Lonchura striata: one gene and its partner. The protein of the gene in region 1 binds, or shares a complex with, the protein of each later gene. Links are inferred from orthologs where the notes say so. Each region holds a gene or a part of one and is shown in the gene's direction. Other genes may lie near its edges.

Evidence for each region.
Region 2: the proteins of FMN2 (region 1) and SPIRE1 are in contact, whole or in part, in a crystal structure (PDB 2YLE), measured with the Homo sapiens proteins. The link is inferred for Lonchura striata from reciprocal best matches to the Homo sapiens genes FMN2 and SPIRE1. Residues at the interface, in NP_064450.3 of Homo sapiens: Ser1702, Leu1703, Lys1705, Ile1706, Lys1707, Pro1708, Arg1709, His1710, Gly1713, Ile1714, Lys1715, Lys1717, Ile1718, Lys1721, Thr1722; in NP_001122098.1 of Homo sapiens: Gln51, Pro52, Ile53, Asn54, Glu127, Ile131, Tyr134, Lys135, Asp138, Leu141, Lys142, Glu143, Asn144, Glu145, Glu146, Arg147, Glu148, Glu154, Ile157, Asp158, Ala161, Asn162, Thr163, Val164, Glu165.

What each region holds. Positions count from the first base shown.
Region 1 is NC_134605.1:47,123,532-47,131,181, forward strand, and holds the start of FMN2 (formin-2), read left to right. Parts: upstream 1-4,420; 5' UTR 4,421-4,660; coding exon 4,661-6,224; intron 6,225-7,650. UniProt on the Homo sapiens protein: Actin-binding protein that is involved in actin cytoskeleton assembly and reorganization. Acts as an actin nucleation factor and promotes assembly of actin filaments together with SPIRE1 and SPIRE2.
Region 2 is NC_134603.1:53,147,357-53,155,064, reverse strand, and holds the start of SPIRE1 (protein spire homolog 1), read left to right. Parts: upstream 1-4,584; 5' UTR 4,585-4,881; coding exon 4,882-5,182; intron 5,183-7,708. Other genes in the region: CEP76 (centrosomal protein of 76 kDa), read left to right, coding at 1-107, 1,320-1,537, 1,982-2,120.

The sequences.
Region 1 (7,650 bases):
GTAATGTGAGGGAATATTTAATGGTAGCTGATGCCTTCTGGGAAGATAAGTTTTACATCATGCTCAGAATAGTAGCCAGGGAAGGCTTCTTGCTGCCACAAGACAGCAGGAATCAGGACCAAATTCCAGCACTGAACTGAATGAGAATGAGAATTCAAACTTTAGTAACATAAATGGGTAGAATGTTTCGGTCTGCTTAAACAACTCTTTCTTCACACGCTCTGTATTACCATATCCCAGTCAGTAATGTGACACCAGAGTACTTTGAAATGCTCTTGTTACTCTATGTTCCTTTTTCTCCAAACTAAACCCATGCACATTGAGCCACTCACTAAAATTAATCTCTGCAGGGTTTGTATGGAATATATGAGGATCTCCTGCAGCCATGTCTTCTTTGGGACTGGTGTGAGAAGAGGCTGGAGAGCACACAGTGCTGGGGCAGCAGAGCCCAGATCCAGGGCTGCAGTACAGTGCTGAGGCTCTCACACTGCTGCTGCCCCAGCCTCAGCCCACATCTGTGTGGAGCCTGAGTCCTTGGAGATTGAGATTCAGCACCCTCTAGTCAACCTCTGCCTTGGCCTGCCATGTAGTGTCTTACTCGCAGGAGAGCAGATGCCCTGGGCTGCAGCAGCCTCATCTCCCCTGAGTCTCCCAGCAGGGCAGTGGCAGGGCACAGAGCCCATGTACACACACACACACACACGTAGCCTGAACAGCCACTGTGGGCTGCTGGAAGGGCTGGCTGTGAGCACAGGGCCTGTCCCTCAGTCACTCTGCAGGGTGCTATGGGGGCACATGGCACACACAGGTCATCTTTGCTGCAGTGCTGCTGGTGCAGCATCACTGCTGGGATGCTGCTTTGGGTCCTCTGTGTCTTGGTAACACTCCTGTGCATGAAACCCTTTCCTGGGGTCGGGTGGGTGAAGCCTAACCCTGCCCAAAGGCTTGGACTCCAGCGGGCACAGCCTGAGGCAGTAACAGGGTGTTGTCTTCGCTTTACTGGGCTTATTCAACAACTACTGTTGAGAGCAGAATGAAATACCACAGTCAGTAAAGCATGGTGAAAACTCATCCACCCCAAGAAAGCTGTGTCTCCACTGAGCAGGCTCCCCTAGGCACCCCTCTTTTCCTCCAGGCAGCCCATGTTTGCCATGGGTCTGAAACAGCAGGAACTGGGACTGCTGACGCAGCCTTCTGTAAGGAAGGGAGGGAGAAGCCCTGAGCCGACAGGGGGGCAGCACTCTGCCTTGGCTGTGCTCCAGGAGACTGAGTCCTGACCCAGGTGTGGGCAGTCAGGGCTGCCCTTCCCCTCCCAGCTCATTAAGGGCTAGGCAAGCACTGCTGAGGGAGCTACTCACCTTTCCAGCGAGGCTGCAGGGAATGGCAACTATCTTGAAAATAATCACAGTCCTGAACAGGGCTTTGCGTTTTTAACAGGAGTGTGTTAATGTGGAGGTTTCTGGGAGCACAAGGATAACGTTTCTTCAATTGTAAGTTTTGACTCCCCTCTGTGTGTTGCCATTTGCATCTCCTGAGCTTAGGAGGAGAGTGATGAAGAGGATCTCAGGTCTATGTTTGTAGTGTCACCCCTCAGTATTTTTGGCTGAGCACTGGCAAATATTGATTGAGCCAGGCAGGCAGGTTCCCTCAGTAGCTTCTTGACAATTTATAGAAAGCTAAGAATAAGTTATGGTAACTCAGAATGAGTTATCACTCTTTAAAATGAAATATCTTTCTTGAACACCCAATCTTTTTCTTTTCTCCATACAGTGTCTGTTGAAAGTCTCTCTTTTTTGGTGTGAAATATTAAATGCCATGTCAGCTTTTAAAATGTAGCTTATGTTGATATCAAAATGGTTTCTTGCTGACTTTTGATGACATGTTTTTCTCTAGAAACTAAAAGACTGTCTGGGAATAAGCATATCCCAAAATATTAACATTTGTTTTTTACTGTAATATATTTAAATGTTGAGAATATTTATGGCTATACATTATGTGGGGGGTTTCTAACGACTGACTCATCATGATGTGCTGTATGAAAACTTCTAGGAAATATAAGTACTTACGTGATTAAACCTATTACAAGCATTAGTATCTAATTAAGAAATGAAGATTGGTCTTTAACTTGACTCCCTTATAAGCCTACCTGTGTCGATGACTTGCTTTTACAACACAATTTGCAGAGTAATCACTGCTGGTGATTTGTCATTAGTTGTAATGGAAGTGTATAGGATCTGACAGGCAAGTTCACAGACAAGGAAGGAAAGGGAGTGTTTCAGAACATTACACTAATTCTAAAGTTCCCTTACACATTTGGTCTATTGTAGCTTTATACTACTCCTGAATTATATTGATTTCTGGCATATTTTAGCAGGAAAATAGTTTTTAAGTGAGGTTGGAAGATACAAGTACTCCAGTTGTAATTAAGGCTTAGATTTTTCAGTTCTAGTCAATTAGAATACCCGTCAAGGTATTATTCTGCTACAATGGTTCTCTCAAATTATATCTTAATTCTTATGTGTATCTTCAGTTGGACTGAAATTATTTGCACTTTCAAAAGCCTTTTGCAAATACATAATAATGATGTAAGTGGTAAAATATTGCAAAAAGTATAACAGCATAACAGAAAGCAAAAGCAGGAATGAAGTAAAAAAGCAAAAGCCTGTGACATGCTTTTGCAGGTTTTGCTATACTAGTTCCTGTTAGCATATTTATAGTTGTTAAGTGTTAAAAGTAGAAAAAATTAGTTTTTTAACTTGGTTAGATAAAGAAAAATAATTAAAAAACCCAAATCGTCCCATTGAGTAGACAAAGTCATCTGATCCACATAAAACACTCAAGTTTTTGAAGACAAGAGATTTCTTTCTTATGTCTGAACCATAGCCCCCTCAGGACAGGGCTTACATCAGAGCAGTAAGTGACCAAGCAGCACAAGGAAGAAATTATGATAGTTCAAAAAAAATTATTTTGCATGGGTTATTACCAGTGTTATTGTTTCCAAACCAAATAAAAAGCACTTATTTGCTGTTTATAAAAAGAGAGCCTAGATTTGTAAAGGTATTTAGAAATTTTTGGAAAAAAAATAATGTGTGTCTTGGAGGAAGTAGAGGGTGGGGAGGAGAGGGTGCCTGTATAGTTTTTAAAATGTCAGTGGTACTCCTTCTTCTTTAATGTTTATTAAGGCAGAGGAAAGAAGTGAAATCTCTGGTAGGAATTACATCAAAAGTAACAGAGAAACCAGAAGAATGTGTTTCCCTGGAATGATGTATTATTTTAAGCAATCCCTGATTAAAGGGAAATTGCAAGTGAAGAAGTTCATAGCCATGAGGAATACATAAAGTCTTTTACAAAAACTGAATCTAATAGACTGGAAAATTTAGAGATGGTAAATTATAAACAGAAAATCTATCTAATTACTACCTGTTTGGTGTTGAACCACGGAATTGGACAGCCGAATTGATTGACTATGGTAACAGCATTCTCAAGTCCTTTGATTTCTATTCCTGTTATATTAATTCTAAATTTTAAAAGTGGAAGGAAATATCTAAAAGTTCAGAATATGTATTTATGAAATAGTGAAGCTTATAAATCTAAAGCAAAAATTAAGGAGAAGCAGCAACTGATTCAAACTTTTGCACAAGCTTCCAAAGTAGCTAGGAAGTATTCCCATCTAAATCAATTATTAAATAGGTTGGGTGCAATAGAGGAGTACTTTACTGTTTCTTTTTCCTTAGTAGCATTTGAATACTACTATTTTTTTTTTTTGTTTTATCTTGTTTCATGCCAGATGTTCTTATGAGGGAAAACAATGGTGATGTGTTTTAATATTGATGAGCTGATTCTCCTGGGAATAACAGTATATCTACCTTCTTAGAATACAAATTGTGGGAGGCTTTTTATAGCATAATTACCACAATGCATTGAATTTTAAGTGCAACTCTTTAAAACTGTGGAAAGAACTTTATGTCTATTATCTTTATTTTAGCTACTTTAAAAGGAGAAGGACTCTTCTTTTAAAATTATCTATTGTTTTGGTGGCCTTTAAAAAGCAAGCATATAAATCACCAGAGGTATTGTGTAATCTGTCAAAGCGGCATATGCTTAAGCACCTTATAAACTATTAAATAATCATAATATTTCTCTTTCTAAGTTTGTTCATTTATTTATTGAGCAGTTACAGAGCAATTAAAGTACCTTGTTTTAACTTATTCTTTCTCTTTTTTCCCTTCAGGAGCTAGAAGTACTGAAATCATAAATGATTTGGTGACAAGCTAAGCTTGCAATGCAGGCAATAAAAACCGTGGAAAAAGAAGTGATTTTTCTAAAGGAAACATATTTCACAGAATCCTTCCTAAAGCAAGAAAAGTGCAGCAGGAGCCCGGCGAGCAGGCAGCTCCAAGAGCAGCAGCCATTGGAAGGAGCTGTCTGCAGCTCTCAGTGCTGTACTGAGCATGTCCCAGCGGAGCCCAGTGCAAGCAGCACATTATGCAAAAAGGCAGCTCCAGCAGATGGGAGAGAGGCACAGCAAGCATTTGCTTCACTTGCATCCCCGCCGCCTGCAAACAAGCCTGGATCGCTAGAGGGGATCTTGCCAGCAGGCCAAAGGAATGAAATCCGGGAGGATGGCTTGATTGTCAAAGGTGCTGCTCTACAAAAAATCATGGGGAATCAAGATGGGAAGCTAAAGAAAAATACAGGTGATGTGCAAGAAGGAGGAGAAGATGCCTCTGGGCCCAAGGATACGGACGGCACAAAGAAGGTATCGGGAGGCAGAAGGGGACTGGGGAAGCATGCAAAAGGAAGCGAATCGGGTAAGAAGAAGGGTAAGTCGGACTCCAGGCCCTCTGTGTTTTCAAATCTGAGGATCAGAAAAAATCTGTCCAAGGCTAAAGATGGGAATAGCAGCTCCCGGGAGGATGTTTTGGAAAGCCAGGCCTTGCAGCCTGGGGAGCTGGACAGTACTCATTCAATTGTAACCAAAACTCCCGATATAAGCATCTCTGCAGATGAAGGGGGTCTCTCAGACACAGATGTTGAACATTTTGAAATCAGAAATGAAACTGTTCCAGCTGCTGCAGAGACACAGGATGGACAAAGGACCAGCTCTGGCTCTGATACGGATATATACAGTTTCCATTCAGCCGCAGAACAAGAGGATTTGCTTTCTGATATCCAGCAAGCTATTAGACTGCAGCAGCAGCAGCAGCAGGGGGCAATTAACATTGGAACTGAGGACCTCGTCACCAAAACAATGGGCCGACACATGGCTAATTCTCAAGCAACCTCCTTAGATTTTGAACGTTTTTTTTCAGTAACTACCACTGACAAAGAGAGGAGCCCAGACACTGAGGGGGCTTTTCCAGCGGTATCGGAAATCGTGGAAAACATTCCCATCTCCTGTGCAACTGAACGGGAACCGAAAGAAGCGGTAAACAGCACAGGCTCTCCTGGTAACAGCTTATTTGAAACACAAGAAGGTCAGCTACTGATTGAGGAGCAGCCCATTGCTGAAGTGGATGCTGTAGCCTGTGAACAACAAGATGGTTTGAATAGAGCTGCAGGAGAAAATGGGTCTCAGGCACACAGCTCCACAGAACCTTTTCCATCTCCAGTGGCAGATGCTGAGGCTAAAATCACTGAAGTGCAGGCTGTTGGTTTTCAGGGCTCAGTAACAGAGGGTGGTATTTCAGATGCAGGCCGTGATCATGCTGCTGAGACTCAGGAAGGGAAACACACTCTGTCAGCCAGTCAAGAGGAGCTGCGTAATGGTTTATCCACAGAAATGAAAAATGGCATTTTGTCCTCTGAAGGAACAGCGGACAGCCCGATACTTGGTTCCCGATGCTTTAAGCCCTATCTAATTAACCCCTGTTACATCAAAACCACAACTAGGCAACTGAGTTCTCCCAACCATTCACCTTCTCCCTCCCCATCCCAGAGCCCACTTTTCACAAGGAGGCAGGAGTCCTTCCACAAAAAGGAAAAAGTCTCAATCAGGAAGAAGAGGTCTGCTAGTTTGGCAGGTTTGTTCAGTCGTTCTGCAGACTGGACAGAAGAGGTGTCTAATCACAAAAGCGAGATAACGGAGAAGGTGAGCTCTGCAGACTACTTGGAGCACAAGGGGTTTAGAGAGAAATTTCAAACAGAAAGTGTGCCTTTGACTCATTCAAGAAAGTCCTCAGGGGTCCAGGCTTCTACAGAGACATTTCCCAATGTCTTTTCAGGTAAGTGATATGTATTAAGAGTTGTTTTGGTTTTTTTTTTCCACAACAGCTTTGAAAATATTTTTAAAATACTTAAATTCATTGCATGCAGTACTTTGGCCTTGCAATCCAAGGCCTGATCTTACAAACACAGTCACATTTCATCAGTCTGGCAGTACTGCCCGTAAAGGAAGTGCATAACTCTTTGAAGTTTTTCTTTCTACTTGTCTCCTTTGTCTACATCCTGTAGGAAAAGGCTGAATGTCTTAAATTATTCTTGTTGAAAAATGCTAAAAGCTGTACTGTTGTAGGCAGATCAGCTCTCTGCATGAACAGAGCTTTCAAATGCAAAGCTTTCTGTGACCAGGATCCTGTTTGGGGTTTTTTTGTGCTAGGTGCTGTTCTAGTGTAATATAAACACAGGAGAGCTGCACCTGGTGTTAGACTGAGGCAATGATGAGAATTTGCTTAGTACAAAAAGGAAAAAGCTGTGCTAGCACAGATGGACAGCACTTCAGAAAGGAACCAATTTCCTCTTCAGAAGGGGGAAGAAGGAGAAGAAAAAAGTCAGTGTATTGAAAGGCAGCAAAAACGGGGAAAGTGGGGGTTGTACGATTTGGTAGCTGTGACATGCTGCTGCTCAGGCTACATAAGGTGACTCATTCAGTAAACTTTTACCTTCCTGTTAGACAGCTTGTATCCTGTCCCAAAGACATGGGATTAGAAAGCTCACAAATGAAGTTGTGTAAGTAGGTAGTTATATTTTCCTTCACTCTGAGGTTTTTTTTTTCTCTCTCTTCCCCTCACCTGAAGTTTCTTTCTAAAGGTAATATATTCATACTTAGGAACACTTCTGCCACATAGGAGGTATGTGTACAGAGAAAACTCGGCAACATATTCCATATATTTTTCACTTGAGGAAAAACTGTAGAACTAAGAGAACATACCCTAAGAGCATCTGCTGTTAGATAAAATCAGATTTTTTTGAATGAAGTCAGTTCTAGATGCATGAGCACAGCAACCATACATGTGCACAAGGTCTTAGCAAAAAATTGAGTGATCTTTTTCTGTGGTTTTATGAAGATCAAACAGAAAAGTATGATTTAGGAAGTAAATATCTAAAATTATTTTCTAGATTCAAATCACAGTGCTTTCATTCTTCAGTAGCCTTGAACTAAAATCCCCAATTTCAGTCTAGAAAATCAGAATTCAAGGTTTTTAACAAAGAAAAGCCAGTTCCCTCTGAGACTAGCCCTCAGTGAACTGAGCTGAATCTTTTTGTTTGTTTTAAATCCCTTCCACCCTTTCTTAGAGAATTTTGGACATGCTGCCTAAACTTTTTGAGTTTGAAGTATATATAGCATATGATGTATAGCATATGAAAAGCACACTCTTTTTTTTTAACATTTGACAGCTTATAAACAACTTAGAAATTTTTTAATTGCCA
Region 2 (7,708 bases), on another chromosome or scaffold:
CTTCAGTTCCCCCTTTTCCTCCTCTGTGTGCTTCTACAATAGATGCTGCTGTAACAAGCAACGAGATAGAAGTGCAGCTGAGGATACTGGTCTCTGAACATAGAAAGGTGAGAAAGATTGGCAGTGATATGTCATGGTAATAGAAGTTCGTGTGTTAATTGTATACTTGTTTTAGATAGCAATTTGTTAGTTTGCAGTGTGTTTTCCATCAGCTTTTGCAGAAACGTGATATGGGAAAGGTGAAAACCTGAAAAAAAATGTTTGGGAAGACTGTAATAAGCTGTTTTATACTATTATTTGCAGTGGTAGTCCACAGCCTCATATGTGGGCTTTTCCACCTACCCTGCCTTTGCCCCTTGTTCTAGATCTGTGACTTTCAGCTTACTGGCACCTGCAGACCACCCATGAGGGGTCTCTAAAAGCACCAGGAAGATGAAACCTGGATGTTAGTGGGCTTTGCCAATCCAGCAAAAATGTTTCTGGGTCCTAGATGAAAGCAGGCTTTCAGCTTTCGTGATCTTACTCTGACTGCTTTACAAAATCAGAGAAATTTTTAGAAGTTAATTTTTGCCTTCACCAGGATTTTTACAGGGCATAATGTGCCAGCAATTATACTTCCTGTGTTGGACATGAAGACAATGATATTTTAAGTCCCTGTTAGCTTATGTCTGTTTTTAATGAGGTTTTTTGATTGATTCTGTTTTATCTCCCCACACGATGCTCAGCCTTTAGTGTGGCAAAGTAATTGTCAGAGTATAAGTCTCATGCAGTGTTGAATACATAGACAGAAGATTTTTCTACTTCTTTGCATTTGGGATGCTGGGAGGAAGGTTCATGTACATGGTGGGAAGATAGATGGTAGAAAGAAGGTGCCTTTGTGTTTCAGGGAGCTGTTGTGCATCATTTTTTCAGAAAGGGTTTTCCATGAGACATTTGAAAAAATGTCAGGTGACTCTTAGTTGATCTTTTCCATATTTTAGCTGTGTATTTATGCATATCTTCTTACATTTTGTGCAGAGATACTGTAGCTGAAACATCTGGTTTCAGCTCTGCTGGCCTTATGTTTTAGTCTAATAGTTTAACTTCATTCCTTGATAAATGTTTGATACTTGTGGTGTCACTTGCTTCAGGTGGTGGTGTTTGCTTCTCCCAATTGGTGTATGAGTCAATACACGAATCTCACTGCTTTGTGAGTACACTGCCATTAACTGCCAATATAAAGATTCTTGGATTTATTTGAATCTATACAGTAGGTGAGTTTAAGCATATCCTGATGTACCTTCTGCACAGTTGTCATCATTCTGTGACTTGCCTCCCAGGATCTTGGCCTTTCGACTGTTTGGGATGACCAGCTCTCCTATCTGTTGTCACCAGCATTAGCAGCCTATGAGCTGGAACGCACAACAGGTGTTTGTGCAGGAAATGAAGAGTTTCAGGATGCTGTAAGGAGAGCAGTACCTGATGGTCACACCTTCAAAGGGTTTCCCATCCATTTTGTGCACAGAAATGCCAGGAGAGCATTTGCCACATGTCTTCGGTAAGTCTTAAGTGTAAAGATACAGGTATATGTTAAAACGAAATAGTAATCCTTAATTGCTAATTGCAACTCATTTTTTTAATAATGGATTTTAAAGAAAATTAATTTCCTTAGGTTAGAACTGGAGGAAGAGTGGTGTAGTGTAATGGATCATGAAGTACAGAGCATTTAGGTTACATTGGTGATTCAATGGTGATAGACTTCTCGTGTATTAAATTGAAGAACAAGGAGTTAATTTCATTTCTCTGTACTTAAAAATGATCAGTGGTCGTGTCATTTTCCTCCAAGGCAACTATAGAGCAATATTATTTGTAATGACAGATTCACAATATTAATTTTTACTTAAATGCTAGTCACACTTAAAAAAAATTGCACTATGTAATTAAAAGCTTAAACAATATCTTAGGATTGTCTGTTACTCCTGTGTTTCTTTTTGTGATATAGGTCTCCTTTTTGTGAAGAAATAATCTGTTGTAGGGGAGACCAAGTGCGACTTGCAGTTCGTGTACGAGTGTTTGCATACCCTGAATCTGCGTGTGCTGTTTGGATCATGTTTGCTTGTAAATATCGCTCTGTCCTTTGAAAAAAGTCCCAAAATGTTCATACCTTTTTAGCCCTGCAAAATAATGTATGTGGGTGTAAAATGATTCAATTAAAAATGAATATAGTATTTTATATAAATGCCACTGATTTTGAACACCACAGTGTGTGTATTGAAGGGGATTGTGTACACAGTAATGATTGTATTTATAAAGAGAATTTATTCTTTGTAATAAAAGTTACTTTTTATATTTACAGAAGTGTGAATCAAGTTACTAAAATGTGTCAAAAAATATCTTCTGAATTGGTTTAAGAGTTTGTTTGGGTCTGCTTTACCTCTGCAGGGTAAGAGACTCTTTTCTACCTCACCTTTCCCTGTAGTGTAGAGGGTATACTTTGTGAGTGACTGGGTTCCAGAAATACTGGTGTTTAGGCATGTTTCCTTCAGACAACAAAATTTATTTCTGCGTCTTGTGGCTCTAACAGTAACTTCTACATTCAACTTCTGAGAACGGTTCAATTGGATAAAGGTAAACTTGTTCATCTGTGAATTTAGTAATATATGGATTTATTTCAGAAATACACATTAAGACTTGCATACCTGAAGATATGAATAGCTATGATGGGTTGGATAAAGTAGTTAAACTTGGTGCCTTTTGCCTCTTGTTACCTTAAGAAGTTTCTGAGGTAGAAATTGTAGCCAGGACATTTTCCTTGACAGCCATTGTGTAATTCTGTTGCTCAGATCTGTACTTAATTAGCCATCTGTGATTTTGTCTGTCTTAAACCTGTGGGTGATGATTTTGCTGAGTATCTTTAAATCTTTATGTTATGCAAAATGACAAGCTGTTGGGCTTACTGAACTTTTCTGTACCATACTTCTCAGGTTTTTCCCCATGTGGACTCCAGGCATCTCTTCTTGTGCCTGGAAAAATCTGAAACTGTTTGATTTCTTCTGTAGAAGCCATTCTGTGTCAGTGATAGCCCATGACCACCTCCTTTGGTTGTCCTAGTAAGAAGGAGGCAACTCTTTCTGCTGGTGCTGGACCAAAAAAAGTACCTGATCCTAAGAGAATTTTGCAACACATACAGCAGGAGTGAATGTTGGCATTTTGCATGTACATTTAATCAGCAGTGTGGCAGTGTGAAACCACTTTTAACTTTTTACTTCAAGAAATGTTAAATACTTTCTATGGCAGCACTGAGGTTTTTTAAATTTAGGACTCTTAATAGTACACTATGTACCTACTGGCCCTACCGCTAACTTTACAAGTCTGTTTTTGTGGTATCTTTTTTTTTTATGCCTGAAAGATCAAAATGCATTCATTTGCTTGTTACACAGCATATAGGATGCTGATAAAAGCTTCACAAGTACAATTTCTCCCCCAGTTTCCTTGAATCTAAATGTAGCCTGAAAGGCTAAATCATATTGCATGGTGATTATCGCCAAATTCAACAGCATTAAGTACAACTTGCATCTTGTATGCACCGCTGCATGTTGCACAAGAGGAAAGAGGAAAAAAGCGGCGTTCAGAGCAGCTGGAAGTGGGATGGGAAGAGAGGAGCTGGAAGTGGGATGGGAAGAGAGGAGCTGGAAGTGGGATGGGAAGAGAGGAGCTGGAAGTGGGATGGGAAGAGAGGAGCTGGAAGTGGAATGGGAAGAGAGGAGCTGGAAGTGGAAGGCGGCGGGGACCTTGTCCAGGTGCAGTACCTCTCCTGTACGGCAGGGGGCGCTCCCGGCGCCGTCCCTCACACCCGGCTCCCTGTGGATCAGGTGCGAACGGGAGATTTTTGTTTCACATCTGAGAGGTACAACGCTAAAGACAGAAACACCGAGTGTTCGGTGTAAGCTCCAGCTTATTTAGTCTGATGGTGCTCTGCGTGAAAGTGCTCGTTTGCCTGGGGTGAAGCTGGCATGAAGGGCTGTGCTCTTCTGGTGCCCAGGTGTGTCCAGGGGCAGGGACGTCAGTTCCCAGCGGCTTGGAGGACGATTCCCTTGTTGTTCCCCTTCTCGCCTGGGCTGGTTTAACTCCGCTAGCCTCTCTATGTACCGTGGACGTTTCCAGCCTTGATGCTGCCGAGGATGGAGCTTTCCCGGAGGAAGTTTGCTTTGGGAGGGCAGAACCTGTAAATTCAAAGGCACTCACCCTCCCGCTATGAAAGCGGGGCCCTGCTACGTTTCGCTGTATCCGTGATGGCGCGGGTTGGTGTCAAGTGTTCAACACTTGGGGGTGCAGGGAGTGTCATCCCACGTCCCGCCGGGAGTTGCTTGTTTCTGGGGGTGGTGGTTACCGACACCCGGCGCAGAAGCGGCGTCCCGAGGGCCGTGGGCCGAGTGCCGCAGGTCCGTCGGTGTCTCCGGGAGCTGGAAGCCGAGCGGTCGCCGCGGCAGCCCCGGGTGGATCCCCCGCGTGCCGTGGCGGCCGTGCCGGCAGGGGGCGCTGCGGCGGCGGGCGGCGCCGCGCGGCGGGGGCGGGCGAGGACGAGGACGCCATTGCGTTGCTATGAGCTGTCGCTCCCCCTGCGGCGGCGGCGGCGGCGGGCGGACCGGGCGCTGATCCTGTGCTCGCCTTCCTCCTGACTCCTGTCTGTTTCCTGGCTCCTGCTGCCTGCCGCGCGGGCCGGGCTGTCCGTCCGGCGGCCTGGTGGTACTAGCGGGGCGGAGAGGATGAGCACGGCGGGACCGGGCGGCAGCAGCAGCACAAGCAGCAGCAGCGGCATCAGCGCAAGCAGCAGCATCAGCAGCCGCCGCCGCCGCGGCGGGGCCGGTCACTGAGCGAGGAGCACCGCGGCGGACGCAGGGCATGGAGCCCCAGCCCGGCGCCTCCCGCCCGGCCGCCGAGGAGGAGGAGGACGGCGGCGGCGGGTCCGGCGGGCAGCCGGAGGCGCTGTCGCTGGAGGAGATCCTCCGGCTCTACAACCAGCCCATCAACGAGGAGCAGGCGTGGGCCGTGTGTTACCAGTGCTGCGCCTCGCTGCGCGCCCGCCGCGGAGAGACCCCCGCCGCCAGGCTGGGGGCGGCGGCCGCGCACCTCCGCGTCTGGCGGGACGGCGCCGTCACCCTGGAGCGGGACGAGCCCGACCGGCCGCCCCCGCCCGCCGCAGGTAAGGCCGGGGGTGGCGCCGACCCCGCGCAGCCACCGGCGGCAGCAGCCGGGGGTCGGCGCGGGCGGCTGCCCGTCTCCATCAGCCTTTGTCCGGGACGTGACGGTCCTTCCCGCCCGAGGGTCGCGGTGGGCGAGCGCTCGGCTCCTCAGTCCTGCCGGGGGCTGTGGCGGGGCTGCGTGCGTGTGTATGCGTGTGTGTGTGTGTGTGTCCCTGCGGCATCTCGGTGTCGTGCGTGGAAAGGCAGAACCACGGGATGCGATCGCCTGCGTGCGGGCACGGGCAGGCGAATGCGGGGCCAGTGTTTTATAATTGCGTCGTCTCTCCTGGTGCGTAATCAATCCCGTGCCATCCGCACACCGGGAGCGCCTCTCTTGCGGGCTCCCTGCTCTTTGGGTTCCTCCGGCCGGGCCGTGCATCCCGCAGGGGCTCCCGGAGCAATTGGGCATCAGAAGGCACCTATTAGAAATATATCCTTTTAGATGTGTGCTGACACTAAGTGAGTGAGAAAGCCGTGTACAGGGGCTTAGCACCTACCATCTGTTTCGTTAAAATGCCCAGGAAAGCGTATTTTGCATTGGAAAGGAAAATGAGGGCGCATGTCTGTTTCTCAGCCCTTCAAAGCTTCTGATTTTTAATGTGGAAAGCAGTATTTTTTTTTTTTTGCAAGTAAAGCTCAATTTCTGAAAAGAAATCAAAGATGGATAGTAGAAGGATGTGACCAATACATGATGGTATTCCCCAGTATCAGCCTAGTCCACATACCACATCACAGAATTTTCTGAGAAGACAGAGGTTTCAGCATTTTAAAGTTGTGTGAATCAGAAGGCAATGGTAAATGCACAAAATGGGATTAATGGAGCCCTCAGCATTTAGAGCACGAATATTATGCCTGGTGTTACAATTTAATGAAGCCTTTTGATACAGTGCCTGTCTGAAAAGTCTTTTGGCAGAGACATACAGTAATCCAGTTTGGAGCTAGTGGTACATGCAAATATCAAAATATATTTAGCGGAAGAAAGGACATAATTTAGTTCTGCAATTGTAATGAGTCTAATAATGACTTTCATTTAAATATGATCTGGTGTGCTTTTAAAATAGTTTTAAAAAATAGGTCTTTGTTAATTAATGTTAATTAAATGCCAGACCAACACCCAGAAATTCCAGGAAAATGCTCTCCTGACCAAGGCATCTGCATGTCACAAGCGCATTGAAGAGTTTTGTGTTGCATGTTTTGTGCTGTTTTTGCTTACAGTCTTTTCAGATGACATCAAGACTTTTTCTTTTCTCTTTCCTATTGCAGGAAATACATTAGTTTACTATGTATTTCTTTCTTTTGTGTCTTTTCCTTGCTATTGGTGGACTTACCCTATTTCCTCTTACCATTACGGGCTTACTTAACTTTGCTCTTATCATTACTGGCTGTAGGATGGTGTTGAATATACTTGTATATAAAGTTCAGGCCCCTCACTGATATCTAGGATATTTATTTTACATTAAAGCTTTACTGTGAAAATGTTTTAGTCAACATGTGCTAACCAGTGTATGTTGATATCACATCTAAATTTTTGAACGGATGAGATTTTTTTTTTAATATTCCAGCCCGATTTTTCTTTTTTTCACCTTATTAGTGTATGTATTATTTTGTATAACACCACATGTGTGTCCTTATATCTGGAGAATATTAAGAGAGTGTGTATATGTACCTAAACAAAGATAACCAGTCTTTGAAGACCTCCCAGGAAAGCAGGAGGCAGGAGCTATCCCAGGGAGAGTACCCCTTCCAGGGCATATAATAGAAAAGGGGAGGCAGGGATTTTTCTGCCAGCTGTCCATTCCTAAAGCATCCTCAGTGAACTCGCTTTTCCATCAGCTGCAGGCTGGTAGGTGCCTGGATTTGAAAAGAGGCAGAATTCCTCCTGGGGTCCTCTCCCTGCCCCGGCCTTCTTCATCTACCTAACTTTGAACAGACTTTGGAAAGAGAGGCTGCTCAGCCTCCAAGCTTTCACAAGGGATTTTGTGTGTTCTTTGATTTGTGAAACCTGGAGCAGGTTTTCACTGGAAATTGTTATATATATGTGATACATGTTGGGAGTTCACTATACTGAATGTTGAGGAGCTGACAGAAGGCTTGCTTGTTGTTGGTATCTTTTGAGCTATCCCTATTCTTTTCCCTATTGCTTACTGCATTCTCTTTGGGTGATGATTAATGTGCTTCCTCAGCCAGTTACAGCTTGAGCCTCTGGAATAGGTGTTTGTTTGTAGGCTCCTGTATTCTCTCTGCACCAGTGAAAGCTTAGGAAGAACCAGTGCCCTGGCTCTGTGGCCTGGGAAACAGTACAGTGTAACAGGCCCTGAAGCTGTATGGTCACAGTAATTTTACTTTCAAGATACAAATTAAAGATCTCTTAGAAGAAGTACTGATTATACAGAAACTGATGGTATTTTTCCAAAGCAGTTTCTTGTGAAACAGTTTACCAGTTCATGCTCAATACTTGAAATTCCAAGTAACAATACATAGAAATT